7 linked regions of the Canis lupus familiaris genome follow. The protein of the gene in region 3 binds, or shares a complex with, the protein of the main gene of each other region. Links are inferred from orthologs where the notes say so. Each region holds a gene or a part of one and is shown on either strand. Other genes may lie near its edges. The genes, in order: DHX16, CWC27, G-patch domain and KOW motifs-containing protein-like, BUD13, PPIL2, RBM48 and CWC22.

Region 1 (3,723 bases), on a different chromosome or scaffold from region 3:
CCTGAGTGAGAGGATGTAGTCACCCGGAGACCTCACCCACCAAGTTCCCTAGAAAGAGTAATCCTGAAGACTTGAGTAAAGAAGCAGGCACAGATAAGGGACAGGAGCAAAGAGGATTATTGCCTAATGTCAGAAGACAGGGACAAGGCCAGGAAGGGTTCAAGGAGAGAAGGAATGAAAAGAGACATAAGGGAATCCCTGGGTGGCTCAGCGGTTTAGCACCTGCCTTCAGCCCAGGGCATGACCCTGGAGACCCATGATCGAGGCCCACATTGGGCTTCCTGCATGGAGCCTGCTTCTCCCTCTGCCTGTGTCTCTCATGAATAAATAAATTTAAAAAAATAAAAATCTTAAAAAAAAAGAAAGAAAGAAAGAAAAAAAGAGACATAAGGCGGAAAGGAAATGGGAGGAGTTAAATTTTTTTTTTTAGAGATGGGAGAGGGAGTCCAGGTCCCTGCCTCCATCTTTCCCACTACCACTTTCACAATCTTCCTCAGCTAGGACTTCCTTCAATAGCCTCCTCATGTGTCTCCCTGCCTCTACTCCAAGTCCTGCTTACCTGGCATTCTTCTGGCACCCAGATTGTCCTTTAAAAATGTAAACCTGTCACATCACTAACACCATCCGTTGATGGCTTCCCATCCTACTGGAGAATTATATCCAAGCCCCTTAAGTCTCCAAGTGCTCTACCTTTCTGATCTCATCTCCAAGGACTACAGGCTCCGTCGTTCCACTCCTGCACAGTTGCTCCCTGGCTGGTCTGAGCACACTCCTCACTCGGGTCCTTTGCATGAGTGCCTTCCTTTGCTGGACACACTCCCTTCCCAGCTATCAGCCTGGCTCCCTCCCTCACTGGGTTCAGGCCTCAGCTTCCCTTTCACCTTCCCATACCCCAAGGAAACTACCTTCCTGACATTGCTCACTCCCAGCCTCCCTGGAGTCAGTCTCCTTTTCCCCCATGTTGGGCTATATCTCTCCACAGCATTGGTCACAAATCAGCATCAGGCATCTACGCGTCCACTGTCTCCTAATTTAAGTTAGACTGTCGGCTGTGAGGCTAGGGACTTTGTTCTGTTCATCACTGTATCTTCATGCCCAAGAAGAGTATCTGGCACATGGCAGGAGCTTGTTATACATTTGTTGGATGGAAGTTACGTCTTTGCTCAAAACCCAATCATCTAAAGTCAAAATGCTTCCAACTGCTATCAAAGGCCTTCCCTAATCTCAGTCCAGAATTGTTTTCACCACATGAACCTTCCCCTCAGCCTTTTGGATTACATTCTGACTTAAACATACCTTAAGCCTTACTCTGGTATTACCTACCTTTTTTTCCCTAAAGATCCAAATCAAATCCCACCTTTTGGCACCCTGAGGACTTCCCTTCTCCTCTGCATCTCCACATACTTACTAACTGGATCAAATATTTGCTGAATTCACCCTCTCTCTCCAGCTCTGGAGGCTAGGGATTGACTACAACTAAGCCTTGCAGCTGCAGCAGTGCCCAGGACATAGCCTGCATAGGGCAGGCACACACCCTCTTTTTCACTATTTGTGTGAACTATAGGGGTGAAGAATGTGGGCGTCTCCAACTGACCTTTCGTGCCCCCGGGGGTGTGGGCTGGAAGATACGGGCCTGCATGTCAGAAGGCAGGTTGGCATAAATGGGTAACACCAAGAGCTCCCGGATTTTGGAGCCCAGGCGGCGGCAGCGATCTTGGAGCATCTCACAGGCAGCCTCAATCTCCTCCTGGATTTGGGATGGGGAGAGCAGTACAGGTCCCAGAGTGACAGAAGGCCCACCTGCCAGCTCTGTTTTCCCCTGGGATACACACCTCATTGTCCCTTGCCCCATGTCTCACACCTGTCCTGTCAGGAACACCAGGATATCCCCAGGGGGCTGGGTCACATGGATCTGCAGCACAGACACCACACAAGCTTCTAGGTAGTCAGCCTCTGGAGCCTGGGGGTGAGGAGGAGAGGGTCACAGGAAGGCCATCTGTTCAAGAAACTTCCTCTTCTCCCAGCTCAATAATCAGTTTATCCCAGTTCTTCTTCAGACTCTCCATTTCCCCTTCCCTCCTTGGGACTACCTTCTCCAAAGGCCCAAGCTTTTCAGCCTCGCACTTCAGCCCATCCTCCCTGAGGGGAGCACCTTGGTATAGAAGATGTCAACTGGAAACCTGCGTCCAGGGATTCGGAAGACAGGAGCATCATCAAAGAAGGTGGAGAAACGGGCAGTGTCCAGTGTGGCTGAAGCCACCAAGACTTTCAGCTCAGGCCGGAAACGAGCAACATCCTTGATTAACCCGAAGAGAATGTCTGTGTGTAGGGTTCGTTCATGAGCTTCATCTACCATTACCACACTGGGGAAAGAACAAGAGAGCTGTGAGCCAGGAGAGCTGCCCAGGAGAGGACAACAGGATCCCCTGGACAAGGGCACAAAGGGAAAGCAAAGAGCCCAATGGTGAATATGGGAGGGGGGGTTCCAAAGAGAGGCCAATCACCCCAGTTAAGGAAGACTAATACAATGTTAAAGAAAGCCAAAAGAAAGAAAAGAAAAGAAAAGAAAAAAAAAAAAGAAAAGAAAAGAAAGAAAAGAAAAGAGAAAGGAAAGAAAGAAAGAAAGAAAGAAAGAAAGAAAGAAAGAAAGAAAGAAAGAAAGAAAGAAAGAAAGAAAAGAAAAGAAGGAAGGAAGGAAGGAAGGAAGGAAGGAAGGAAGGAAGGAAGGAAGGAAGGAAGGAAGGAAGGAAGAAGAAAGGAAAGAAAGAAAGGAAAGAAAGGAAAGAAAGGAAAGAAAGAAAGAAAGAAAGCCAAGGGCCCGCAGTCTGCAGTTTATCTCAGCCTGGACAGACAACAACGGCCAAGATCTGGAGGCTGAAAGCCAAGGCCAGGACAAGTCACATATGCTCTCTGGATCAGAGTCATGGATCTGTTAGACTCAACAGAAATAAGAGTTTCTGTTTTAAAGGGGGGGAAAAAAGTGAGAACAGGGCCTTTGGGAGTAAGGCTGGGCTCCCCAGGCTGGCTGAGAATGAACATACAGACCTGAAGCACCAGGATTTGCACAGCCCAGGAGCTCCTAGGCTTCCATGAGACTGCTGTTGTGCATGTCTCTTGGTCCTGCTGCATCCTTCTGGAGAGAGGAACCAGGTAAGCCTGTCTGTCTGTCTTTCTTTTCTTTCTCTCTCTCTCTCTCTCCGTCTCCTCTCTCTCTCTTTCTTTCTTTAGGTTTTATTTATTTATTCATGAGAAACAGAGAGAGAGGCAGAGACACAAGCAGAGGGAGAAACAGGCTCCCTCTGGGGAGCCCAATATGGAACTCAATCCTGGGACCTCAGGATCATGCCCTGAGCCAGAGGCAGTCGTTCAACCACTGAGGGACCCAGGTGTCCCCCAGTAGGCCTTTCTACCCCAATCTTAGAGGGCTCTGCGGGCTTCTTGGTCTCCTCCTTAGTTATATGTGGGACACATCTTTGATATCTTTGCTAAAGTCTTTGGATTCTCAGGTGACAGCCATGCCTGCAGGAGCTCACCCCTGACCTCAATTCTTTGTGCGTATCCCTGACTATGCCAGTGAAGTCCCCAGCTGTTTCACAAAGCAGGCTGGCTTGACAGGAAAACCGCACACCCTAAACACTCTTGCACTAGCTGGCCTTCCATGGTTTCTGAGATTTTTGCAAGGGATGTGAAAGCTCAGATCATATTTGTCCTGTTGCTCCATCT
Region 2 (3,723 bases), on a different chromosome or scaffold from region 3:
TTCTTATACCAGAGCCAGCTAAATCCAATAGTTGCAAGATTCTCTCATGGGAGAGAAAGGAAGAAGGTGCCTATAAGGTTTTAATTGACAGGTTCTGGTAAAGTCATTTTTGAAATGTGGACAGTCCCTAATAGAAATGGATATTACAAAAAAAAAAAATCCATCTGCATTTTTGGAGAGAGCAATAATTTTTGAAATAGAAAAATGTGTATATAGAAAGCTATTAATAAGTTAACTAAAGACAGTGGTTTTGTTTTTTACTATCAGTACAGGAGTATTAAATAAAATTGTTTTAAAGGGCATGTTTCAGGTACTTCCTGGTTTCAAGCTACTTACCTGGGTTAGGTATCTGCACAAGAATCATTTATTTGCTAAACGCTTACTGAAATGCAGTGCAAGGTCTGTACTCCCCACAATGTGTGATAAAGGACCTTTAAAAGGACATCCTGCCATCCTTCTAAACTTGTTCCTCAGGAGGAGAAATACAATTCCTAAAAAGTATACTTTGTGGGAAATGCAGGACAGATTATAAGAAGTGTCAAAGAAAAAGACCACCTCTCCTTTACCTGAAACAAAAGGTTTAATTTATTAAGTAAGGAAGAGTTATGCTTTTAGGCACAGTCTCTGAGCAAAGTGGGTTGCAAATCTGACACAGAGTTTTGGGGTCAGGGATTATTAGGGGTTATCAGCCTCAGGAGCCCCATTATGCACCAGAGGCTCTCGGTGATTGGCCAGCTTTCAGAAATGTTTACTCGACAGTCCACCACTGATTGGCCAACTGATTAGTTGGCTTTCAGAGGTGTGTTTACTGAACTGAGTTGTCACTGATCCTTTAGGCCTAGGCAAATCATCATTAATTGATTAAATCCAGTTTGAGTACGTTTCAAACCAGTTCTAGTAGTCCCTGGTTACCACGAATGTAGAACAATCCGCCTTTTTCTAGGAGTTGGGATTGTTTTATTTTCAGAAGCTAACACTGCAGGAAATTCAAAGTGTAAGAAAGTCACACTTGAGGAATCTATTTAAATAAGCAACAATCCTATGTTGTACTTCCTTGAATACCCTACATCCTCCTCCCACAAAGAATCTACAAATTTATCCTACTAAATTGTATGATTATCCATGATAAAATTGGTGCTATTTATTCTGTTATCATAAGCTTAATTCAGAGCTCTTTTTTCCATTTCTTCCATTAAATGTATCTTATCATTTTCAAAGAAGATAGAAACAATTTAAAGTGGAAATTTAGGAAGCAAAGGCCTCAATATCACCATTCTTGAAATTACCTGTCCAGCATGGTTTTTCCACTGTCATTGCTATGGTAAGGAGGTAACTATACTTGCTGATTTTCTTTTTCTGTTGTTTTGCTTCTATTTTTCTTTCCTTCTTTGTTCCTCCCTTTCCTTTTCCCTTTCTTTCCTTTTTTCCTTCTTTCTTTCTTTCCTTCCCTCCCTCCCTCCCTCCCTTCCTTCCTTTTGGATATAGTTGCCATACAATGTTACATTAGATTTAGGTGTACAACATAGTGATTCAAGTATCTATACCTTACACTATGCTCACCACAAGTGTGGCTGCCATCTGTCATCATGCAACACTATTACAATATTGACTATATTCCTTATGCTGTGCCTTTTATTCCCATGACCTATTCATTCCATAAGTGGAAGCCTGTACGTCCCATGCCCCTTTACCCATGTGGCCCATCCTCCCACCCCTCCCCCCTCTTGGCAACCGTAAGTTTGTTCTCTGTATTTATAGGTCTGATTCTGTTTATTGATTTGTTTTGTTTTTTTAGATTCTACATCTAAGTGAAATAATACGGTATTTGTCATTGACTTATTTCAGTAAACATAACACCCTCTAGGTCCACCCATACGGTAAATGGCAAGATCTCATATGATGCCTTTTTCTGAATAAAGATACTCACTCAAGCAAAAGAAGTGTAAGGATTCAGCAGTTCTTACAGGTGATATGGCATGTTCACATTGAACATTAGTTATTGAAATTAGTTATGAAATTTAATGCAAATTACATATTAGTGATATAGAAATAAAGCACAAAAAGTATAGAAAATAAAGATAATAATAAAGTATAGAAATGTGAATGTGATTTACTTCATTTAGTAAGTTAAAGTAGACTCTAGGTCATCCATATAATAATATCACTTGTACTAACTGCAAGCTTTTCTGGGATAGAAGGGATGGGAATGATAGTTAAGGCTCAACTTGTTAGCCCTTGAGAACAGTAGCTACTGAATCCTTAGTAACTTCAGTATCATTAATACTATAACATTTTATTTGTCACCAAAATGTTTTCTTCAAAATCTGAATATATCCGTGAGAGTTTTTCACATAAGTAAGCTTCACTCAGCATTTCTGCTACTGCAGGGAAAAGGGATGGGGGACTTGTACCTACTGCCCAAATCCCTGCTTATTCAGGGAAAAAGAAATTAATGTAATATTTGGGTTTCATGTGAAAGTTACAGCGGGTGTATGGGGAGTGTTAATCCTATAGGCAATTTAGCCCTATCAGCTGTGATAAAAGTGTTGGGTATGCCCACTTTAAAAGTGCTTAAATAACAAGTGGGAAAAGCTTTAGTAGTTTTGTTTATATATCGAAACTGACTTTTCTCTTTCCAAATTCATTCAGTTGCTCTGAAATCTGGTCTTTGACTTCCCCATTTATTTCTGACACCTCCTAATGGGGGCAGAGCTAATCACTTACATATTTCCCTGCTGCTAAGGATAGCCAGCTTATGACCACTTAGGACTCAAGCACATGTTGATACCTTAAGACCAGTAAGCATTTGATAAAGTGGGAAAAGCAGGATGGTTAAATTTGTTGTAATCAACAGTAAGAGGAGGAAATTAGTCCATGGAGCTATGCCAAAGCTTAGTTTCCTTTTGCACAAAAAAAAAAAAAAAAAAATCATTTTTTGTTTTTAACCCTGCAGCTCCCCTGAAAAGGCAGTCATAACATCATTTGAACAAGAATTTTCTTAACACATTCCTGAATCTTGACCCCTTTAACTACTGAAAACAGAAAGATCAGATAGGGCTGGTTTATTGTCAGGAGTTCTGCTCTGCCGCCCTGCCCTCTCTGGCTAAGTGAGCCTGCTCTTTATTTAAAGGAAGCTGGCAAAATGTTCTCTGAGTTTAGGTGAAGGAACATTCTGCTACAATTCCTTTAACCTCCCATCAGGAAAGGACCTTCAAGTGAAGACTGAGGCAAAGAGACTCTTTACTAAAAAATACAAACCAACAGAACAAACTCCAGACACGTTTTTCAAATTTAAGTGTCTTCTGAGAAGGTGGTTTCCATGCGGTGTAAGCACCAATAAACAACAAGCGCATGTTGGTGTCCTGTACCCTATGGTGCGTTATGCCAAGGACAGTATAGTATAAAACGTCTACTTTCTGTTCTCCTGCCAAAATCACTGAACCATCCATCTCTCTCCCTCTTCAGGATGTCGCATGTACTTCAGTTTGAGGATAAAAGCAGAAAAGTGAAGGATGCAAGCATGCAAGATTCAGACACATTTGAAATCTATGATCCTCGGAATCCAGTGAATAAGAGAAGACGAGAAGAAAGCAAAAAGCTGATGAGAGAGAAAAAAGAGAGAAGATAAAATTACAGTAATGTTAACTAGAGCTAGCTAGAAACGTGCCTGCAACAAATGGCCTTGTAACAGCCATTGTTCCCAACAGCATCACTTAAGGGTGT
Region 3 (3,723 bases):
CCTCCTGTTTGCTTTTTGAAACTCTGTAACGGGATCCCTTCTGTACGGGGTTACCTTTCTGAGCATTAGCTTCCTCATCTGAAAAATGAGGGTAGTGACAATACTGACTTCCCATATCTGTTGCAGAATTACATGAAATTATGTACATAAAGCACTTATAGCAGGCCCTGGCCCAAAATAAACATAGATGAAACATTTGCTATTATCACACAGACTTTTGATCCCTTCTCAGTTTTCTGAACTCCAAAGAATTCTGAAAACCAAATATTTTTTTTCAAACATTTTTTCATAAACCATTTAGTAGCCACACATGACCTGAATTGACACAGAGCATTTTATAGTCTGTTCCTCCTATTTGGTGTGAATATTTGTATGATTTCCCCTGTAGAAATATTAGGGTATTATAATCAAAATCACAGAGATCTGCCTCAGATCCTGCTGTAAATAATATGTAATAGATGGTATACCCAGTGTGTTATTAGGTTGGACCAAACGAAATTGCTTTTCTGTAGATCAAAAACAGTCCTGGGATCCCTGGGTGGCTCAGTAGTTTCTAGCGCCGCCTTCAGCCCGGGGTGTGATCCTGGAGACCCAGGATCGAGTCCCACGTCGGGCTCCTTGCATAGAGCCTGCTTCTCCCTCTGCCTGTGTCTCTGCCTCTCTTGCTCTCTCTGTGTCTCTCATGAATAAAATAAAATCTTAAAAAAAAAAACAGTCCTAATGTGAGATCGGGAAGGATATTCTTGAGCATGTTGATGGGGTGGGATTTGGATGGCTGTGAGGGGACACTGAAGACTTGCATTCCTCCCCTCCCCAGCCCAATAAGCTCATATACTGTGTTGCCTGCAGAGTGGTGAAGCCCCGTCTCAACTTACTGAGGCCGAAGGGGTTAGGGCTGGGTGCCAACCTGAATGAGGTCCAGGCCCTAGTCCCCACTGGCCCCCACCACCTGCCAAAGCCAGATGAAGAGCAAGAGAAGGCTAAGGAAGACCAGCCTCAAGGACTGGTGCCTGGAGGAGCTGTGGTGGTTCTTTCTGGCCCTCACCGAGGCCTCTATGGGAAGGTAAGGAACCAAGCTATGCCTAGAGCCCAAGACAGGCAGCGGGGAAGTTTGATGTGAGGGTCAGAGGGAGGAAGAATTGGGCTTAGGGTGGAAAGGCTGGAAGTCCTTGTCTTTCAGGCCTGCCTGGCTTGCTACCTCATTTGGTAACTCAGAACCACTTGCTGGGCCTGAGTCTCAGTTTACAACTAAAAGAGAGAATGGCCATATGTGCCAAATGTTCCTGAGGCTTAAGTTCTTTAAAATATATCCAAGCCACACAGTCTGGTAGGGGAAACACATGAACCAGGCCCAGGCCCAGGCCTTGGGTCAGTCTGGTGGGGGAGACACAGGGGTCAGGCTTATAGGAGGTAAGACTGGACAGTTCGGTCCTAGGAATGTGAGTTTAGTCCACTCAGACCCTGCCTAACTTCGTCCTCCCCAACGCTTCAGGTAGAAGGCCTCGATCCTGACAATGTTCGGGCCATGGTTCGCCTGGCCGTGGGGAACCGCATGGTTACTGTTAGTGAGTACTGCCTGCGCCCTGTCTCCCAGCATGAGTTTGACAAGAACACCTTGGATCTCAGTGAGTGTGCCTCTTACCTAGCTGGGAGAGTTGGAGAAACATTCCAGGGGGCAGTAGGGGCCTGTACCTGGGGGTGAGGCTGGGTGGGTGTCAGATCTGCAGAGGGGAGGGGCAGTGGTCTGTCAGGCAGATGTGACTTCTGGTCAGAATCCAGGAGGTGAGAATGAAGATCAGTGGTTTATTCGGTTTGAAGAAAAACTGATCTAGTAACCCTGGGGCTTTAGCCTCTCAGAGAAAAAACAGGTGTGGAAACCTATTCCTATCCTCAGGAGGTCTCTGTCTGTTCTAGGTGATGAGCCTCTCTTCTTCTGGGTGTGAGGGCAGCCGGGACTAGGCCATGCCCAAGGAGAAAGGCATTCTAGGCATGGCAGCAGGATGGGGCGGTTTGACAGATGAGATATTGGTGCTGATGGAGCTCTCAGGATTCCCTAGCCCACCTTGGAGTGGCTGAGGAAGCCTTCCTGAAGGAAGCCCCAGCAGTTGAGGGGAAGGGGAGAGCATTCTGATGGCATAGGCAAAGTTGTGATGGTGGGAGGGGACATTGAGGCAGGTGGGAGGTGGCCTGAGGCCAAGGTGTAGCCTGCCAGGTAAGAGGCTCACACTGAGGCTCCTTCCTGGTTCTCCCCATACACCCTTGCACAGGCCAGATGAACAAAACTTCCCCAGGGCAACAGAATGGAACAGCCTCATCATGGAAGGCCCTCCGGGATCAGGACCTCCCCAGCTGGCGGGAGGACTCAGAGAGGAAGCGGAAACACCTTCCCGACCGGTGGGACCCTGGGCATCTGGGGTTGGGGGAGAAGGCAAGGCTGTGGAGGGATTCTAGCAGTCAGAGAAGGCTTCCCGGGCAAGGCAGGCACATAGAAGGAACTAGGGATGACATCAGGGCATCAGGGGTGGGTTTCACAGCAGCCAACTGTGGGGTGACCAGAACGTGTCTCATCAGCTAAGCCTGTGTTGGCCCTTTCCGCAGACAGGGGGAGCCCGCAGCCAAGAATGAGAAGGCAGGTCCCCAGAGCCAGCACTGGTTGCACAGGGACCTGCGTGTGCGCTTTGTGGACAGGCAGCACAAAGGTGGCCAGTATTACAACACCAAGGTGGGAACCCTGCAGCCTGGCTTTCCCCCACCCCCCCGGAACTAGGCCCCCATAACTGTAACACTCTCACATCCCGTGACCCTTTCTCCAGATGACCATTGAAGATGTCCTCAGCCCAGATACCTGTGTGTGTCGAACAGATGAAGGCCGGATTCTGGAAGGTGAGTCTGAGGGATGGCCACTGGGGTTTTAATCATCCATCCTAGAGGCTGAATAGGAAGGCTGTCTTCGACCCAAGAGGCTGGTGCAGGCAAAGGCTGGAAGGTTAGGCAGAGTTCAGGCATTTTGCACAGCCCAGAATCTTTTGACAGAATACGAGGCACTTCTGTGATGGTGATTATCTAAGCTGCTCTTTCCCCCTGTGATGGTGATTATCTAAGCTGCTCTTTCCCCCTGTGCACACTGGCATAGAAATGAGCTATTTCTCCCTCTGGGGACTGGGCCTTGTACAGATGTGTACTGAACTCCCCGTGCAGGGCAGGGCATATGACGTGCACACAATAAACGGTATCTGTTGTCATCACCCATCATTTTCGTGCATAAGTGCTCCTTTTTTCATAGTTCTTTCTTCTTTTTTTTCCCAAGATTTTATTTATTTATTTGACAGAGAGAGAGCATACACACAAGCCCGGGGAGTGGCAGGGAGAGGGAGAACCAGACTCCCTGCCAAACAGGGAGCCTGATGTGGGACTTGATCCCAGGACCCTGGGATCATGACCTGAGCCTAAGGCAGACGCTTAACTGACTAAGCCACCTGGTGCCCTATTATAGTTATTTCTAGGAACTGCTCCTTAGGTGTCCTCACCTGTGAGCTGGAGTGGGGCAGGGGGACTCCCACCTGTCAACAGGGTGCAGGATGGCTCTGAGGCATACAGGAAAGGCTTTCTGACAGGACCTGGGTGGGCTGGCCCTGGCCATGGGCCTCACTCCCCTTTCCTCATCTGCAGGCCTGAAGGAAAACATGCTGGAGACCCTGGTCCCCAAGGTCGAAGGCAACCGGG
Region 4 (3,723 bases), on a different chromosome or scaffold from region 3:
TTAACATAATGGTTTTATTAAGTTTTTAATGAACTAATAAACACTTTTAAACACCTCAGTTTAATTTTGAATATGGTAAATATTAAAAGATGTATTCCACATAAACAGAAGTTTTTTGGGGTCCTTAGTAATTTTTAGAAGTAGAAAGGGCTCCTGAGGTCAAAAAGTTTGAGAATTATCATGCTAAATGCTAGAACAATGTCCTTTGTAGGCAAGAGGAGACGGACTCTAATGTATAAGGAGAGGGACAGACTTTGGATAGAAGCACATTTAGGTCATCATGTTAATAGACAGGAAGTTAGAGTATATGGGTAGATGCTGGTTGCAGAGGTCAGTGAGACCCTGTAAGTAGCTCACTCCTAAGGCAGTGAAGAGAAGGTTGAAGAACTACATTTTAAAGATACAACACACAAAAAAACTCCAGACTCCCATCCATCACTCATTCCCTCTAAACCTTAGAAAATATCACTAGAGGTGACCAATGTCAGAAACAAAGGGTATCCTATCAGCACCACCAGAGCAATTTGTCCAGAGCTTTATAAAGCTTTGAAAAGGAAAATAGGAGTAGTAGTATTCTGAGCATGGGAAATGGGATTTGGAGACCTTAAAAAAAGCAAACTACATGTTATTAACCTTGTGCTTAGAGTAGAGAGAGAGGGAGAGTAATTTAAGAACGGTTAGGGAAGATTAGGGGCAGATGGAAAAGAAAACAAAAATGTATGAAACATTCAGGCTTACCTGTCCACTCCATCCCAGCGATAACCAGGCCAGATATTGAATCTGTTGGGAGGAGGTGCAGGACCAGTGTAGCGAGGTCTCACTGGTGAGAGGAGAGAGAGAGAAAAGAAGTTAGTTACCTTATGTAACTCAATTCAGAACTGAGTGGCAGTGGGAACAAAAAATTTTACACCGAGATCTCTACTGAGCTGAACCCTAACTCCCAAATACAAGGAATCTAAAACTGTGTGGGAAAGCCTTCTCTCTGTCCAGCTATGTACCATCAGCCTAACGACCATCCCTCTTTACATAAGTCTCTGGTGAATCCCAAAAGGTTCACCTTTCTTATTCTTGTTCTCCTTGGCTTTATTCTTCTTGATAAAGTTGGCCATGGGGTCTCCCTCTCTTTCCTGTTCTCTCAGCATCCGATCCAGATCTTCATCATCAATATAACGGGCCAGCGGCTTCTGCATTTCCTTCACTGCATCCTCCACGTTTTGTTGTTGCTGCCGGCTCTGGACTAGCCTGGGCAAAAAGAACCAAGAGTGTCTGCTATCTAGTGTAACATTTCCCTTCTTACACTAAAATGGACCATATGACTACATTTGGAGCACCTCCTTTTTCTGACAGCACAAGCCAAATATTGAAAAGAGTAAAATTTCCAGAAAGCGAACTGAAAGTGTAGAATACATCAGTATTTTAGGAAGGAGACTGAGCACACCAAATTTTCCATTCCTGAAATGGCTCTGAAGGCAGAACAATGAACTAGTTGGTCAGGAAACTAGATAATGTCCTCTCCAGTCCTAGCACAGTCTTGTTCTTCACTTCGGCAGTTCTCTTACCCTTTTCCCCACCGAGCATACAGCTCATCTCTCTCCGAGTCCTTCTCTGCTTTTCTCCTTTGCTCTAAACGTTCCAGTTTCAAATTCCTCTTACGGCCAGACTTATCTCGAAATACAGTTTCAGCATACTGGAATTCAGCTGCAAAGGAAAATTCTACTTTTAAAGATAAACATCAGGTATCAAAATCAGAAACAATATTCTAACAGTTGAAATCAACCACTTGGGATTCCTTTTTTTTTTTTTTTAACCACTTGGGATTCTGATGCTGGATAAAAACTTTTGCAGCCAGACTACAAATAGCTCCTACCAATATCTAACTAACCTTTTTCAAGAATGAAAAGAATCACTTGGGCCTACTAAGAAGTTAAAATAATACATAAAACCAGAACTGAAATTTGATATCAATTAAAAGTTTAAAATATCAGGCACAATAAACTACATTAAAAAAATAAAATCTAAATGAGCCTCAATTAGTCTCTGAATTTTTACATTTTTACCTTCGAACGCCAGAGTTTCTTGGTCCCGTTTCTTGAGCTCCTGCTGCTCTTGCTGTATGTCAGTTAACACCAACCCAGTTTTAGCCCCAGAATACATGTGTGTAGCCTATGCAATAGAAAGGGGAGCATGCGACATTAATGAGACAATGTAGCAGTAGGCTCCAGGGTATACACAGTTAGATGCATTTTTGCCTGATAATTAGCAATAACCAAACCAAACACTGTAGCTTTGTATTCTCATTATTGACCACAAGATTCACAAAATAAAAAAGAATAAAGCTGAATTTGGTGGCAAATTAACAGTACTATTAAGTTTTAAGAATAAACAGAAACACAAACTAAGAAAATATTAAAGAAAAGGCACAGCATCTATATTTCTGACTTTTTAATATATAAACTGCACACATGAAGATACATTTTCAAATCACCTGATTGAAACCTGTATCAAGCTCTAAGCCCTCCAGTAGAGACATACACTGATAAAATATTCCATTTCAACTACATATTCAAGCAAATCTAAGGTCCTTCAATTGTGGATACATTTCAGGATAATGACAAGTTATGACCAAATCAAACCTTTTTATTAAATTCCATTTCATATCAAGATAACCAACCGACCCATAAACGGAGTATACAGAGTATCCAGTGCAACATATAAACCTGATTAGCATAAAATTGTCCATGAAAGAAACAGATGCCTAAAATGCAATGGGTCCAGTTTCAACACAAACCTCACTTTGTTCCCCAAAAGAGAAGAGCCCCACTTCCTGAGTCAGGGACAGGCTACAAGAATAATGTGGGTGACAGAGAAGACTTACCTGGAAAAGTCTGGGTTGGACGGAAATGTGCATATTGCAGACTCTATTACTGTTCATTTTTTTCTATTACTATTTCTTAACCAACCCACTGGAATAAGATTCTTTTCCTAGCACCAGTGTGCTTTGCAAAACAAAAAAGAGTTCATGTGGATGATCTGGGCAATTCATGCTTCATCATAGATTTAAAATAAAACAAAACACTGACTTCCCAGGTGATATGATTTCTAAAAGTCATTTTATATTTTAAACACCTCTCTTTATGCTCTGGATATAGAGACCTGTAGTCCAATTTATAATAATAAATTGCTTGTGCTAATGTCTCACTTTGTCCTGGGCACTTGTAAGATACACTTACACATTTAACTCACAATAACCTCATGAAGTACATACTACCATTATCCATGTTTTACAGATGAAGCTGGAGCTTAGAGATATTCCACAGCTTGTTCAAATCTCACACAGTAAGTTGAAGAAGTAGGATTTGAATATCCAACACAAGGCTTGTACTCCAAATTCTACTCTGTAAACTATAGTTCTTAGTTCATTCATAAGAAAATAGAAAGTTTTTCTGGACTTTTTAAAAATTGAGATTTGTGGAATTAAGAGAATAGAAAGACAGAAGGTACTTAGGAAACCTGGTGTTTGCAAGTTCTTCTGGGCTGGGTTACAGTCAGTCTGGCCTGCAGAGAGAAGCAAAGAGCTCTAGAGGTAACTGCACTAGATCTACTATACTACCAGGAACTACCTCCTCCCTCTCTGGTTTATGTATTGGAGACATGTACAAAGCTAGAAAACAGGAGTCACTCTAAGAGAAGGACACGGCTCTTGAAAAACTCTACCTTCTTTCC
Region 5 (3,151 bases), on a different chromosome or scaffold from region 3:
CTGAACTCCTATTTAAAGCTTTTGTATGTTCTGGGCAAGTTTACTGCTCCTCTGATTTGAGCACTTTGGTTTTTGTATTGTCTTTTGTGATGGCATTGAAACATTTTTACCAGTGGTCTTAGGCCTTCTTTTGTACTTTTTGGTTTTTTTTGTTTTTGGTAACTGATACCAACGAAAACTCAACACTTTTTTTGTTGTTGGTCTTCCGAAAAATCAAAATCGAAGCTCCTTTCGAAACCAAATGAACAGACCGTGAGCTGGCTCCAGGGAAGGACATTCTCGAGACCACAACCAGATATGCTGGTGGAGTGTTGGAATGTTCCACCCTTTTAAATCCCTAAACAGTAAATATCATCCTGTGTCTTTTATTTAAATTATTTAAAGTATTTTTGTCCTTGAAGAATGGGGAGGGGATGCCAGGACCATAAATGCATTTAACTTAAAACTATGTAGTGTTTTCTGGCGCAGCACATCTGCTTTAGAAGCGTGGTTTAGTTTTGTTGCCGTTTTATATCTACATATATATATAGTATTTTTGTACCTTAACACTTATTCTTGATGGCATCTGTCAGATACTAGGCGAGATCAGACATGGGAATTTTTCCAAAAGTCCTTTAATTTACCTGGTGACCTCACCAGGTACTTACAAAATCTGAGTGGTTTTAATATCTAGAAAACTAAATTCCAGAACAACCTACAGAAATGTAAACCCTTGTTTGTCAAAGACCCTTGGGTGGATCTGCAGCCAGGGTGGCCCGGGCCTGCCTGGGGCCAGGTGAGTGTGGCCACTGGGCGCAGCTGGAGGGACGGACAGATGGACAGCAGTCCGAAGGTTTGCCCCTTTGAGCAGGACTGCCAAGCTCACGTGCACAAGCCTCCTTCAGCCTCCATGTCCAGCCCTCCGTCCTCTGTGTCTGTGTGAGGTTGAACAATAAAGCTTCCAATGTCAGACCTGTCCTTCTCAGTCGCACGTCCTGTCCCGGGCACTCTGCTCTCGGCCGACAGCCCCGGCTTCCTGCTGGGAGTGTTGGGTCAGGGTCTCCGAGCTCCTGTGGTGGCTCTGGTCTGGTCACCTGGGCTCCCCCTCCCCCAAAGGCTGCAGGGGAAGCCTTCTGGGACACCCCCTCTCCAGGGCCTCTGCCCGCACCCAGAGCCACCAGCAACTACTTGGTGGCCTGCAAGTGTGTTCACTTGGCTGTCACCACACGCAGCCCTCTCCTCCTGGGTGAACCCGGATCTTGGAGGCATTTTGGGCACAGACACTGGGACACAAGCGTTTCACCAGCTATCAGATGTCTGGATGTAGCCGGGAGGGGTCGTGATGAGGTTGTGAAGAAGAGGGCCAGGCCTGGCCATGGGCACAGAGGGCTGAGTGGTCACCGTAGAGCCCCAGGCCCTGGCTGCACTCACAGGCAGGGTATGCAGAGGGCACGGTGCGTGGGGGGCACAGACCTTGTTCTCACACGGAGGCGAGCCACTGACTGCTGGGAAGCAAAATGCCAACAGGCTGACGAGCTCTGGGAAGGTGACCCAGATGGCATCTGTGTGGGTGTGTGCAAGGGACTTGAACAGAGGCAGGTGAGACAAGGCGTGGGTCTGGGGTTTCAGCATCCAAGATGGGAAAAAGCAGAGCCCAGGTAAATTCTGGAGCCACTACTGACACTCACTGATGGATCTGAGGTTTGGGCGAGGGGAAGAACCGGGGACAGAGCCTCAGAACGATAGTGTGACAAGCTGGAGGGGGTTGTGGCCTATGCTGACTCGAGGACTAGGTCTTGGGAGTGGGGGTGAGGGGTGGACAGCTATCCCCACGCTCCTGTAGAGGTGCTTTGGGAAGGCCGAGGTAGTGGTGTCAGTGTCGAGAACGTGGAAGCCACGCAGGCACACGCTCCAGAATGAACAGTTAGTGAGAAAGGGCAGGCAAGCAAGTGCTAAGTTTTTTTTTTAAGACATAGAAAAATAAAAAGGGAAGGGATTTTTTAAGTCCAGAAACGCTGGTGAGGCTGGTCTGGAAGCCCTAGTGCTAGGGCAAGGGGTCAAGTGTTTGAGCCAAGGAGGGACCCTGAGGGTGGAAGGGGGGTCACGCCAGCTGGGCAGGGCCTTCGGCGCATCCATCAGTAGCAGCAGGAACCGGAGAGCTGCTCCACGGGCGCTCCTGTGCCTGTCCTGAGGCAGAGAGGCAGGAAGTCCTGGGTGCAGCCCGCACCTGGGCTGGCCAGAGCAGGCCCACGGGGAACATGGCTGTGACCACCCAGAGTCCCTGCTGGGTGGGTGGCCAGGCCCCAGTGAGTCCAGGCAAGAGGCAGCAGAAGAGGTTTTAGAAACTAATGGCAAGGCTCCCATGCAGGGTCCTCAAGCCACTGGCAGCGAGAGCCCCCCAAGGTGTGTCAGCAGAGCGCAGAGCCTGCCCCGAGTCCCCAGATCGGAAGGTCCGGGGTTTGCGATTCTGTGTGTGTAACCAGGTCCCAGGTGATACACTGAGTACAGTCCCTGAGACGACGACAGCCGGGGTGGGGGAGGGTGGGAAAGCCAGAGTCGGGGGCCCTCCTCGCCCACACTGCTGGCTGGTCTGCGGGCCACAGGAAGGGGGCCTCAGGCAACAAGCAAGAGCTTTAGCGAGGTGTCGTCAGACGGGCAGGTGACGAGGCAGGAAACACGGGGTTGTGGACACAGGCCCCCGGCCCCCAGTCCCCCCCGGGGATCCAGAGGGGCAGACCTGCTGCTACCATGAGCTGAAGTCCCCAAAGCCTCGGCTGGGCTTCTTCTTGGCCACAGGCACAGCTGTACTGGTTGAGGGCTCTTCCTCTGCTACACGTTTCCTGGAAAGAGAAGGATCAGTTCCTCGAGCTGGAGGCCCACGCCCGCCCACGCCCTCCCACGCCCTCCCACAGCACCTGCTGCATGTGACGTCACAGCCACGCAGTCCCCACCCAAGTCCTCAATCTCCAGCCTGCACGGTGGCCCCCAGGACACCTGCTCACTGCTCAGCCCCGAAGCCTGGTGCTCCCCCGCCACTGGCACATTGTGGCCTGTGGGCCTTGGGAAGCCTGGAGAGCACCGTGCAAACGGCCAGCCCCGCGCTGCACTCACGTGGCTGCTGGGTTGATGTACTTGCCCACCCCCTGGCGGTACGTCTGGGGCCCCTGGCTCC
Region 6 (4,337 bases), on a different chromosome or scaffold from region 3:
AATATATAAGCAACGAGAAAGTTACATGATGATATTCAACAAATACTTATCAAACATATGTAACTGGCTAAGCATTATACTACAATAAATATTTAAGTACTTGCGTGTCTAGGGATAATGATAGAAATACTTATTGAGATTTTATCACACACCAGGCAGTGCCCTAAGTACTTCACCTGAATTAAGATTTCATAAAACCCTATGAGGACCTAAGGAGGCCTCAGGAGATTTATAATTTAGCCATGCTCACACTAGTTTGTGGAGTTATGATTCAAATTGAGATGCTGAACTCCACAACCTACCATATTATGTGCTGTGGGAGATGCAAAAACTCTAGAAAATATGCTTCGCTAACTATGAGGGGAAGTTGGTTAGGGGAAGTGAGATCACATAAGGGAGCAAACTGAGAACAATACATAACCCTATAAAAATCAAGTGCTTTTGTGGCAGACTGCAAGTGCTATTTGGAGTACGGAAAGACAATGTGAATGGTGGGGCACCTGACTGACTAAGTCGGTAGACCATGTGATGCTTGATCTTGGTGCTGTAAGTTTGAGCATGTTGGGGATACAGTAATTAAAATCTTTTTTTTTTTTTTTTTTTTAAAGAGAAAAAGGAAGTATGAATGGTAATAGCCAAAGGATGGATATTGGAGCAAATTAGTGACAAGAATGGGGTAAACATAAAACTAGATGAGGCATTTCACCCTTATTGAAGCACAGAATTTATGCAGAAGGCAGGAAAAGACTGAGTCAATTCACATAGGTGCATAACATTAAGAACTTCAATAGCGGACAGCCCAGGTGGCTCAGCGGCTGGAGACCAGGATTGAGTCCCATGTCGGGCTCCCTGCATGGAGCCTGCTTCTCCCTCTGCCTGTGTCTCTGCCTCTCTCTCTCTCTGTGTGTCTCTCATGAATAAATAAATAAAATCTTTAAAAAAAAAAAAAATCCCAGCAAGTTTAAAGAAAAAAAAAAAAAAAAAAGAACTTCAATAGCTAATGTTTACTGCATTCTCAACAGGAGGCACTATGTTTCAGCCCTTTACATGGATTATTTCATACCATCCTCACACAACCCTCAAAGTAGGTCCTTTTACTGTACAGATTTCAGAGACTAGAAAAAACAGGCTTGTTGAGGTTAAATGACTTGTCCAAAGTCACGATGTTAGTAAGCTGTGAAGTTCGAAAACTTATCCAAACCCATTTTGTAATCTACCACAATATATGACTGAAGATTGTTAAGCAAGGTAATGACATTTAAGACTGGAGTTAAGATAGGGCAGCCTGGGTGGCTCAGCGGTTTAGCACCTGCCTTCAGCCCAGGGCGTGATCCTGGAGACCTGGGATCAAGTCCCACGTCCGGCTCCCTGCAGGGAGCCTGCTTCTCCCTCTGCCTGTGTCTCTACCTCTCTCTCTGTGTCTCTCGTGAATAAATGGGTAAAATCTTAAAAAGAAAAAAAAAAAAAAGACTGGAGTAAGATTAAAATAATACAGCGTTACTCAGTAATTCAGGTATGAACGAGGGACAACTGGGACCAATGTGCTAGCAATGGGAATGGCGGAAATGAAACTTAAGCTTAACTTGCACATTACCTTGCACTTTGTAAATTCATAAATTTAATAAGATAAACTTCCGTAAAGTCTTCTGCTGGGTATTCATCTAAAGCGTTATACTGTTCAATTGCACCATATAGAGCAAATCGCTCAACTAATTCCTTCATTGCTCCCACCGCAGGAACTCCTTGAATTAACAAGTACCGAGATTCCAAATTGATTGTATATACCTAAAAGAAATGCAGACACATAAAAATGTATTTTCCACATATTAGTGAACCCATGTGATACCTGCCTTTCTCTGATTGACTTATTTCACCAAATAACATAATACTCTCCAGTTCACTAATACATGGAATATAAGAAAGAGCGCAGAGGATCGTAGTTAAGGGAGGGAAAACTGAACGGGAAGTCATCAGAGAGGGAGAAACACCAAGAGAGACTCTTAACTCTAGGAAACAAACTGAGGGTTGCTGGAGAGGAGGTGGGCGGGGATGGGGTAATTCCGTGATGGGTACTAAGGAGGGCACATGATGTTATGAGCACTCGGTGGTGTACCTAACTGATAAACTATTGAACATCTGCATCTGACACTGTGTACTATACGTTGGCTAACTGAATTTAAATTAAAAAATGTATTTTCCAAATAAGCCTAAGACACATCTTCTATTTAAAAAAAAAGAAGAAAAAGCTCTGGGGATTAAAGAGTACATTTACAATGATGAGCACTAAATAACGTACAGAGGTGCTGAATTATCATATAGTACACCTGAAACTAATATAACGCTGTAGGTTAACTATACTAGAATTAAAATTAAAAAAAAAAACAAAAAACTTAAAGCCCTGAAAAGAAGAAACATTCTGTTCAGCCGGTCTGCAGAAAAAATAAAGAATAAATTCACCCCTCCGTGTCAGGGCCTCTAATTAAAACACAGAGTATCTTCAATGGACATATTTTCCGGAAGTTGGCTCAGGAGAAGTTAACTGGAGAGAGAGCGAGAACGATTCACTGAGCGCTTACCACGTAAGCACGGAAGATACAAAGACTAAAGCGGAGCCCCGTCCCCGCGGAGCTGACGTTCTAGCAGGTAGCCGAGGAGTTCGTGAGAACGTCTGGTAACTGAGCGCCGGCCTCTCGTCCCACCGCCGATGCCTGGTGGGCAGGCCCGCAGCCCCTCAAGCCTTCATCTATCAAGCCGGGCATGATAACGCTATCGAGGATAGCGAGTGAAAACCCAAGTCACTTTACCTTGACAGCGCGAGGCCGCCGCCCCTCCCGATACTTGGCCCGCGTGTCGCACACGGCCCTCTGGACGTGGTGATCGAATACGCCCCCGAGCTCCCCGCCGCTCGACGCCATCTTGCCTACTTGGCTCCGGCCAAAACGACAACATCCGCCGGGCCGCCCTCCCGCCCACCCAATGACGGAGGGGAATGGGCCACGGCGTGCCTGGATTGGCTGGAGAGCCGACGGCGGCCCGCATCGTTTCCGGCGAGTGAGACTTGGGTGAGCGAGGTGCCGCCCTCCGGCGGCGCGGCGGAGAGGCCCGGGACTGCTGGGGAAGCTTGCTTGCCCCTCCCTCCTCGGACGGGCGCGCGGCGAGGGGGCGGGGCCGCAGGGGGCGGGGCCGATCGATCTTCTCCGGCTCCGACGGCCTCGGCCTGCCCCGCGGCGGGCGTCGGCTGGAGCGGGCTGCCGCGGCGGGGGCGTCTTCGGCGCCGGACGATGTGGGGCGGCGACCGCCTGGCGGGTGCAGACGGGGGTGGGGTGGCGGCGACTGTCGTCTTCACCAACGCTCGCGACTGCTTCCTCCGCTTGCCGCGGCGCCTCGTGGCCCAGCTGCACCTGCTGCAGGTACCGCGCCGCCCGCGGACGGGGCTCCCCGCCCAGACTCGGGACACCTGGGAGCAGCCTGGGGGCGGACGGGGCTGAGGCCTTGGAGGCACGCGGCGACCCTCAGGCCCCCCGCCCCGAGCGGCGTGGCGAGGGCTGCCTTTCCGCCGTCGCCGCCGAGCGGTTCAGAGGCCGGACTGAGGGCCCCTCGAGGGCACGGCCGCCGGGGGCAGGTCGTGCAGCCCTGGGCCTTTAACTTGCCCTGTTCCAGGTGTTTTCACTCCATGAGACTGGGCTTACAAACATCCTAAGTCTACGTCTGCATTCAGAAATATTCCTCACTCCGGTTTGGAAAAGCTCCTGGGAAGTCGCTAATTTTTATTTTTATCTTGAAAAATGTTTTTCTTGGCAGTGATTTCCAGATCCCTGCACGACTGCCGTCCTGGACTCCAGAAGGAGGGGCGGGTTGGGTTTGCAGAGCCCCTGTAGATTAACAGCGGAGCACCGCGGCCCCCATGCGGAGTAGGTCACTAACCAGAGGCTCCCCCCAGTCCGGGGTGTGCCGGGGATGTGCAGTAGAACTCTGCATACCTGGAGGTACATAGGTAGGATTACTTGAGCCTCTGCCGTCAGTCGTCCTTTTTTTATTAATTACTGGCAGAAATACAGCATCCGCATTTTCATAGCTAGAGATAGAGACCTGTAGTCTGTGAGTCTGTGTTTATGCAGGCAAAGGGATGGGATCTTTGAAATCCTCAGAAATCCTGAATGCATGGTACCCACAACTGGCTCATCATGAGGGGGATATTTAAGAGTTTCCAATAGTTTTAAGTACCCGACCTTTCCATCTTACTTCTCTGGAACTGTTTTTTTCTAGATTATTCCCCCCCCCCCTAGAATTATTGGACTAGAAGGCATAGGTGAATTATTAAAGCAGGAAGTCATGAA
Region 7 (4,410 bases), on a different chromosome or scaffold from region 3:
GTATCTGTTCTCTGACTTACTAAGCTACAAATAGCAAAAGTTTGCATTAATCTATTGCTTCCTCTCCTGATCTACTATTTTTGAAGAAAAATGCTTTGAAAATTTGCACTTGTTGTAGGTAATGAATTACCTCTTCCAATGCCCCCTTGGGAAATGTATATGCTGAGATAAAATACTTAGGCTACAGATTTAGTAAGTCCAGAAGTTTGTGGAGACTGACATGCCTGAGGTCTGTTTTATCACATCCCATGCTAAAATGTTCAAATTTAAATGGTAGAGAAATGCAACAAAGAAGCCCACAGGGTCATCAGTGGGATCAGCTACATTACCGACAACCACCTCTTTCTTAAACCTGCTCTAGACCAGCCGTAACTTATACCAAGTTAGCGATACACCGGGTCGTACAAAACTCGGTCTAGATACATGTGGGTAATAAACAGAAAATAAAGTCTCAGCGGCGTTATAAATGAGTCCTCTCTTAGACGGTCTCAGGTACAAGTTACTGTAGATTACCTGGCAACGGACAAACACGGGGGGGGGGGGGGGGGGGGGGCAGTTAACCAGATGCCGGCCAAATGAAGTGGGTGGGAGATGCTCCAGGAAAGTGGCACAGGAGCTTAAAAGTGCGAGGGCAACATTCCAAACCAAAGGACAAGAAAAGCACTGAGGCAAGAGACCTCATCAACTGTATCACAGCGGTAACAAGAGCTAACTAACCTTTCACGCCAGGCGCTGGGTGTGCACAAGGGTCTAATATGCGTGATTTTTCTTTATCCTTGAAACAACTCACTAAGTTAGATATCATCACCCACATTTTTCAGGTGAAGAAGCTGAGACTAGAGATGTCAGGTTACCTGCCCCAAGGGACAGACCTAGTCAGTGCTGAGCCGGGACGGGCACCTTTGGCTTACTAGTCCATCACCCAGCATCTCCTGCTCCTACGGATGCTGCTTGTCACAACGCCTCTGCGAACAAAGTCACACTTTTTTTTAATGTCGATTCTAAATTCGCTTTTCCACCGCTGGATGATAATCGAGGTCAACTCCCGAGTTTACTGGCGATCCTGAAACAAATGTACACGCGGTAAGGAGGCAGCAGGTTCACCGGGTTTTCTGAAGGCCAGATCTCGTTTTTCCATCCGCTATCGCTATAGTCTGCAGTTACCTAAAAACGTAAAGGGGCTCTTACTACGCGTCCCATCACTTCTCTCTGGCATCTGGCATATCCGTTCTCCATTTTCCCCCTTCTGTTCACCTAAAAAGTCGCTGCGAGCATCAAGTCAAAATAAGTGAAGGCGGTTGTTGCAGGCAGACTCAGCGAAACCAGCTACTGCACTGCCGACCGGTACAGGTGTATGGGGAGGATCCGGGGCTCGCACGCGAGGAGACCCGCGCTGGGGAGTAAGGACACCCACGCGCGGAAGGAGCCAAGAGGACCGCGAGCTCCCTGGATGAGGAATGAGCACCAGGGAACCTCTTCATTTACGGGGCAAATGAATGAAAAGAGCAGCAACTAATGGAAGTCTGAAGAAGCTATGCAACAGGGCTACGACGCTGCGAAGAGGCAGAAGAGAGGAACTTGCAGCTACAGGCGGGGAGTCCCGCTTCCACGGGGTCCGGGCCCTGCGACGGCGGCGCGGCCGGGACACGGTGCAGGGGGCCCCGGGCACCCACCCGGGAGCTAGGTCCGTCCACGCCCGGGATACGGTGCAGGGGGCCACGGGCACCTACCCGGGAGCTAGGTCCCTCTGGGTGGGGACACGGCGAGGTCCTCCCGGGCACCCCCCCGAGCTAGGTCCGTCCACGGCCGGGACACGGTGCATGCCTCCCGTGCACCCCTCCCCCCCCCCCCCCCCCCCCCCCCCCGGGAGCTAGGTCCGTCCGCGCGGGGACACGGCGGGGTCCTCCCCGTGCACCCCCCCCTCCAGGAGCTAGGTCCGTCCACGCCCGGGACACGGCGAGGTCCTCCCGGGCACCCCCCCCCCCCCGGGTGCTAGGTCCGTCCATGCCCGGGACACGGTGCAGGGGGCCACGGGCACCTACCCGGGAGCTAGGTACGTCCGCGCGGGGACACGGCGCGGTCCCCCCGGGCACCCCCCCTTCCCCCCGGGAGCTAGGTCCGTCCAAGGCCGGGACACGGTGCAGACCTCCCGTGCACCCCTTCCCGCCCCCCCCGCCCCGGGAGCTAGGTCCGTCCGCGCGGGGACACGGCGCGGTCCTCCCCGTGCACCACCACCCCCCGAGCTAGGTCCGTCCACTGCCGGGACACGGCGAGGTCCTCCCGTGCACTCCCCCCCCCAGGAGCTAGGTCCGTCCACGCCAGGGACACGGTGCAGGGGGCCACGGGCACCTACCCCGGAGCTAGGTGCCTCCGCGCGGGGACACGGCGAGGTCCTCCCGGGCACCCCCCCCCCCCCCCCCCCCCCGCCGAGCTAGGTCCGTCCGCGCGGGGACACGGCGAGGACCTCCGGGCACCCCCCCCCCCCCCCCCGGGAGCTAGGTCCGTCCGCGCGGGGACACGGCGAGGTCCCCCCGTGCACACCCCGCCCCCCAACCTAAGTCGGTCCGCGGGGACGCAGCCTCCCACCCGCGCAGACTCCGCCGCCGAGCAGCTCTCCCGCCGCGGCCTCGCGGGCCGGCGGGCTCCGGAAGGGGAGCCGCGCACCCCCGGCGCTGCCCGCGGCCGTCCCACGGCCCCCACACCTGCTCCCCGCTGCGGGGCCCACCCGGCCCGGCAGCCCGCACCCCCACCCCGGCTCGCCGCCTGAGGCGAGTCCACGGAGTCCGGTAGTTACCTGGAGCGCCACCGCGCCGCCATTACACCGGATGTGCGTCACTTCCCCTTCCCGGCCCGGCAGTGCGAGGAAGGCGGTACGTGAAATGGATAAAAAAAACTGACGCTAAATTCACTTTATAATGCTAGCCTGCTAATTTACTTTTTAAATACCCTCTCGTAATACCAGATTTAGAGCAGGTGGTCCGGACTCAATTTTTCTCTTTCCAAGACGGCGACAAAAGAGAAGTTGGTTTAAAACTACAAAGTCCGGCGTCCGCCGCCGGTGAGGACGGAAGTGACGTAACAATTGTAATTCAGGCTGAGAGAGAGTCGCAATGTACGGCGGGAATTGTAGTTCTTCTGCGTAGGCGGCGGAGAATCCTTGGCGGCTCGTCTGAAGCCTGGTAGTGATGAGGCTTGGGCAAAATTTACTCCAAAGCTCTTTCTCTGCAGTTGGCAAAAATAGGCCTTGGCAGTCACTTATCCGTGAAAAATTTTAAGAAGGGCAGACGCCTTTTCCAGATTTTTTTCAGTAGTTATATAAAGAACCTATATAAGCAAAAATGTCCTGAAGCCTTAAGTGCCTACTAAGTTCCAAGATTTCAAGCCTACGGGAATGGGAGGATATTGGACCACAAAATGAAGTAATGAGAAGCTAATTTTGTGGAGAAGAGGATGCATCTATTTGAGTTTAAGGTACCAGCTGGCAGGACATCCTCAGGATAAGGAGATTGGCCAACTTGGAAATAGCAGACTATGCAGAGATCAGAGGTAATCAGTGGAACAGTTTTTTTATTCTTTACTTAATAGTAACAAAACCCAGAAGTTCAACTACTTGCTACTGTTTTGGAAACTATCTTTTCATAAAGCAACTGTATCCGTCATGTTCCCCAACCTTCTCTATATAGCAGGCCTGGTTTCCCCAAACATTTTTTTCTATTAGAATTTTAGAGTAATCATGCTACTAACCCTTTCTTTGAGGCAGCAGAGTGTAGTGATTACAGATAAAAGACACTGGAGCAGATTTAGCTCTTGAATCTATCGAAATACCCCTGGATGATTTTTCTTGGGCAGATTACTTAACACCGTGTGCCCATTGTCTGTTAAATTGGGGAAAATATTAGTACCCACCCCATAGGATACTTTTAAGAAGTTAATAGTTGTGGATTAAGTTGTGAATTTAAGAAGTGAATTAGTTGATACAACTTGATGTATGTGATATAATTCCTACCACATAGCAGTATTACCTATTTTTTTAAAGATTTTATTTATTTAATTATTTATTTATTTATTAGAGACACAGAGACAGAGGGAGAGGGAGAATCAGGCTCCCTGTGGGGAGCCCAATGTGGGACTCGATCCCAGGACCTGGGGGTCACGCCCTGATTCAAAGGTAGACGCTGAACTGCTCAGCCACCCAGGCGTCCCACAGTATTAGCTATTCTTTTTCATATTTAAGATATTTGACCATAGTTAAAGGTACTTTTTAGTGTCTTTAAATATTTAAGCGAATAGATACAGGGCATAGGAGAGGAATCTGGTAAACATTTATATCCATATCTGAAAAAAAAGCACACTACCACCTCTACAATTTTCGACAGAGGTAGGAATGTTAGAGTTGAAGCTAGAGCTGGA

The links.
Region 1: G-patch domain and KOW motifs-containing protein-like (region 3) and DHX16 share a complex: the UniProt entries of both Homo sapiens proteins name them as parts of the minor spliceosome. The link is inferred for Canis lupus familiaris from reciprocal best matches to the Homo sapiens genes GPKOW and DHX16.
Region 2: G-patch domain and KOW motifs-containing protein-like (region 3) and CWC27 share a complex: the UniProt entries of both Homo sapiens proteins name them as parts of the minor spliceosome. The link is inferred for Canis lupus familiaris from reciprocal best matches to the Homo sapiens genes GPKOW and CWC27.
Region 4: G-patch domain and KOW motifs-containing protein-like (region 3) and BUD13 share a complex: the UniProt entries of both Homo sapiens proteins name them as parts of the minor spliceosome. The link is inferred for Canis lupus familiaris from reciprocal best matches to the Homo sapiens genes GPKOW and BUD13.
Region 5: G-patch domain and KOW motifs-containing protein-like (region 3) and PPIL2 share a complex: the UniProt entries of both Homo sapiens proteins name them as parts of the minor spliceosome. The link is inferred for Canis lupus familiaris from reciprocal best matches to the Homo sapiens genes GPKOW and PPIL2.
Region 6: G-patch domain and KOW motifs-containing protein-like (region 3) and RBM48 share a complex: the UniProt entries of both Homo sapiens proteins name them as parts of the minor spliceosome. The link is inferred for Canis lupus familiaris from reciprocal best matches to the Homo sapiens genes GPKOW and RBM48.
Region 7: G-patch domain and KOW motifs-containing protein-like (region 3) and CWC22 share a complex: the UniProt entries of both Homo sapiens proteins name them as parts of the minor spliceosome. The link is inferred for Canis lupus familiaris from reciprocal best matches to the Homo sapiens genes GPKOW and CWC22.

Annotation. Positions count from the first base shown.
Region 1 is NC_049233.1:603,043-606,765, forward strand, and holds part of DHX16 (pre-mRNA-splicing factor ATP-dependent RNA helicase DHX16), read right to left. Parts: intron 2,364-3,723; coding exon 2,153-2,363; intron 1,961-2,152; coding exon 1,862-1,960; intron 1,748-1,861; coding exon 1,595-1,747; intron 2-1,594; coding exon 1-1. UniProt on the Homo sapiens protein: Required for pre-mRNA splicing as a component of the spliceosome. Contributes to pre-mRNA splicing after spliceosome formation and prior to the first transesterification reaction.
Region 2 is NC_049223.1:50,071,604-50,075,326, forward strand, and holds part of CWC27 (spliceosome-associated protein CWC27 homolog), read left to right. Parts: intron 1-3,465; coding exon 3,466-3,628; 3' UTR 3,629-3,723. UniProt on the Homo sapiens protein: As part of the spliceosome, plays a role in pre-mRNA splicing. Probable inactive PPIase with no peptidyl-prolyl cis-trans isomerase activity. As a component of the minor spliceosome, involved in the splicing of U12-type introns in pre-mRNAs.
Region 3 is NC_049260.1:42,454,856-42,458,578, reverse strand, and holds part of G-patch domain and KOW motifs-containing protein-like, read left to right. Parts: intron 1-849; coding exon 850-1,063; intron 1,064-1,492; coding exon 1,493-1,625; intron 1,626-2,267; coding exon 2,268-2,394; intron 2,395-2,598; coding exon 2,599-2,722; intron 2,723-2,813; coding exon 2,814-2,883; intron 2,884-3,669; coding exon 3,670-3,723. UniProt on the Homo sapiens protein: RNA-binding protein involved in pre-mRNA splicing. As a component of the minor spliceosome, involved in the splicing of U12-type introns in pre-mRNAs.
Region 4 is NC_049226.1:16,831,939-16,835,661, reverse strand, and holds part of BUD13 (BUD13 homolog), read right to left. Parts: coding exon 3,715-3,723; intron 2,164-3,714; coding exon 2,058-2,163; intron 1,699-2,057; coding exon 1,560-1,698; intron 1,243-1,559; coding exon 1,058-1,242; intron 821-1,057; coding exon 739-820; intron 1-738. UniProt on the Homo sapiens protein: Involved in pre-mRNA splicing as component of the activated spliceosome. As a component of the minor spliceosome, involved in the splicing of U12-type introns in pre-mRNAs.
Region 5 is NC_049247.1:31,132,254-31,135,404, reverse strand, and holds the end of PPIL2 (RING-type E3 ubiquitin-protein ligase PPIL2), read right to left. Parts: coding exon 3,091-3,151; intron 2,981-3,090; coding exon 2,974-2,980; intron 2,820-2,973; coding exon of another isoform or gene 2,809-2,819; coding exon 2,593-2,808; 3' UTR 596-2,592; downstream 1-595. UniProt on the Homo sapiens protein: Has a ubiquitin-protein ligase activity acting as an E3 ubiquitin protein ligase or as an ubiquitin-ubiquitin ligase promoting elongation of ubiquitin chains on substrates.
Region 6 is NC_049235.1:18,068,173-18,072,509, reverse strand, and holds the start of RBM48 (RNA-binding protein 48), read right to left. Parts: upstream 2,961-4,337; 5' UTR 2,950-2,960; coding exon of another isoform or gene 2,916-2,949; coding exon 2,805-2,915; intron 2,733-2,804; exon of another isoform or gene 2,577-2,732; intron 1,786-2,576; coding exon 1,595-1,785; intron 1-1,594. UniProt on the Homo sapiens protein: As a component of the minor spliceosome, involved in the splicing of U12-type introns in pre-mRNAs.
Region 7 is NC_049257.1:23,753,443-23,757,852, forward strand, and holds the start of CWC22 (pre-mRNA-splicing factor CWC22 homolog), read right to left. Parts: upstream 2,984-4,410; 5' UTR 2,960-2,983; intron 2,948-2,959; exon of another isoform or gene 2,795-2,947; intron 1,597-2,794; exon of another isoform or gene 1,165-1,596; intron 1,076-1,164; exon of another isoform or gene 873-1,075; intron 867-872; exon of another isoform or gene 718-866; intron 1-717. UniProt on the Homo sapiens protein: Required for pre-mRNA splicing as component of the spliceosome. As a component of the minor spliceosome, involved in the splicing of U12-type introns in pre-mRNAs. Promotes exon-junction complex (EJC) assembly.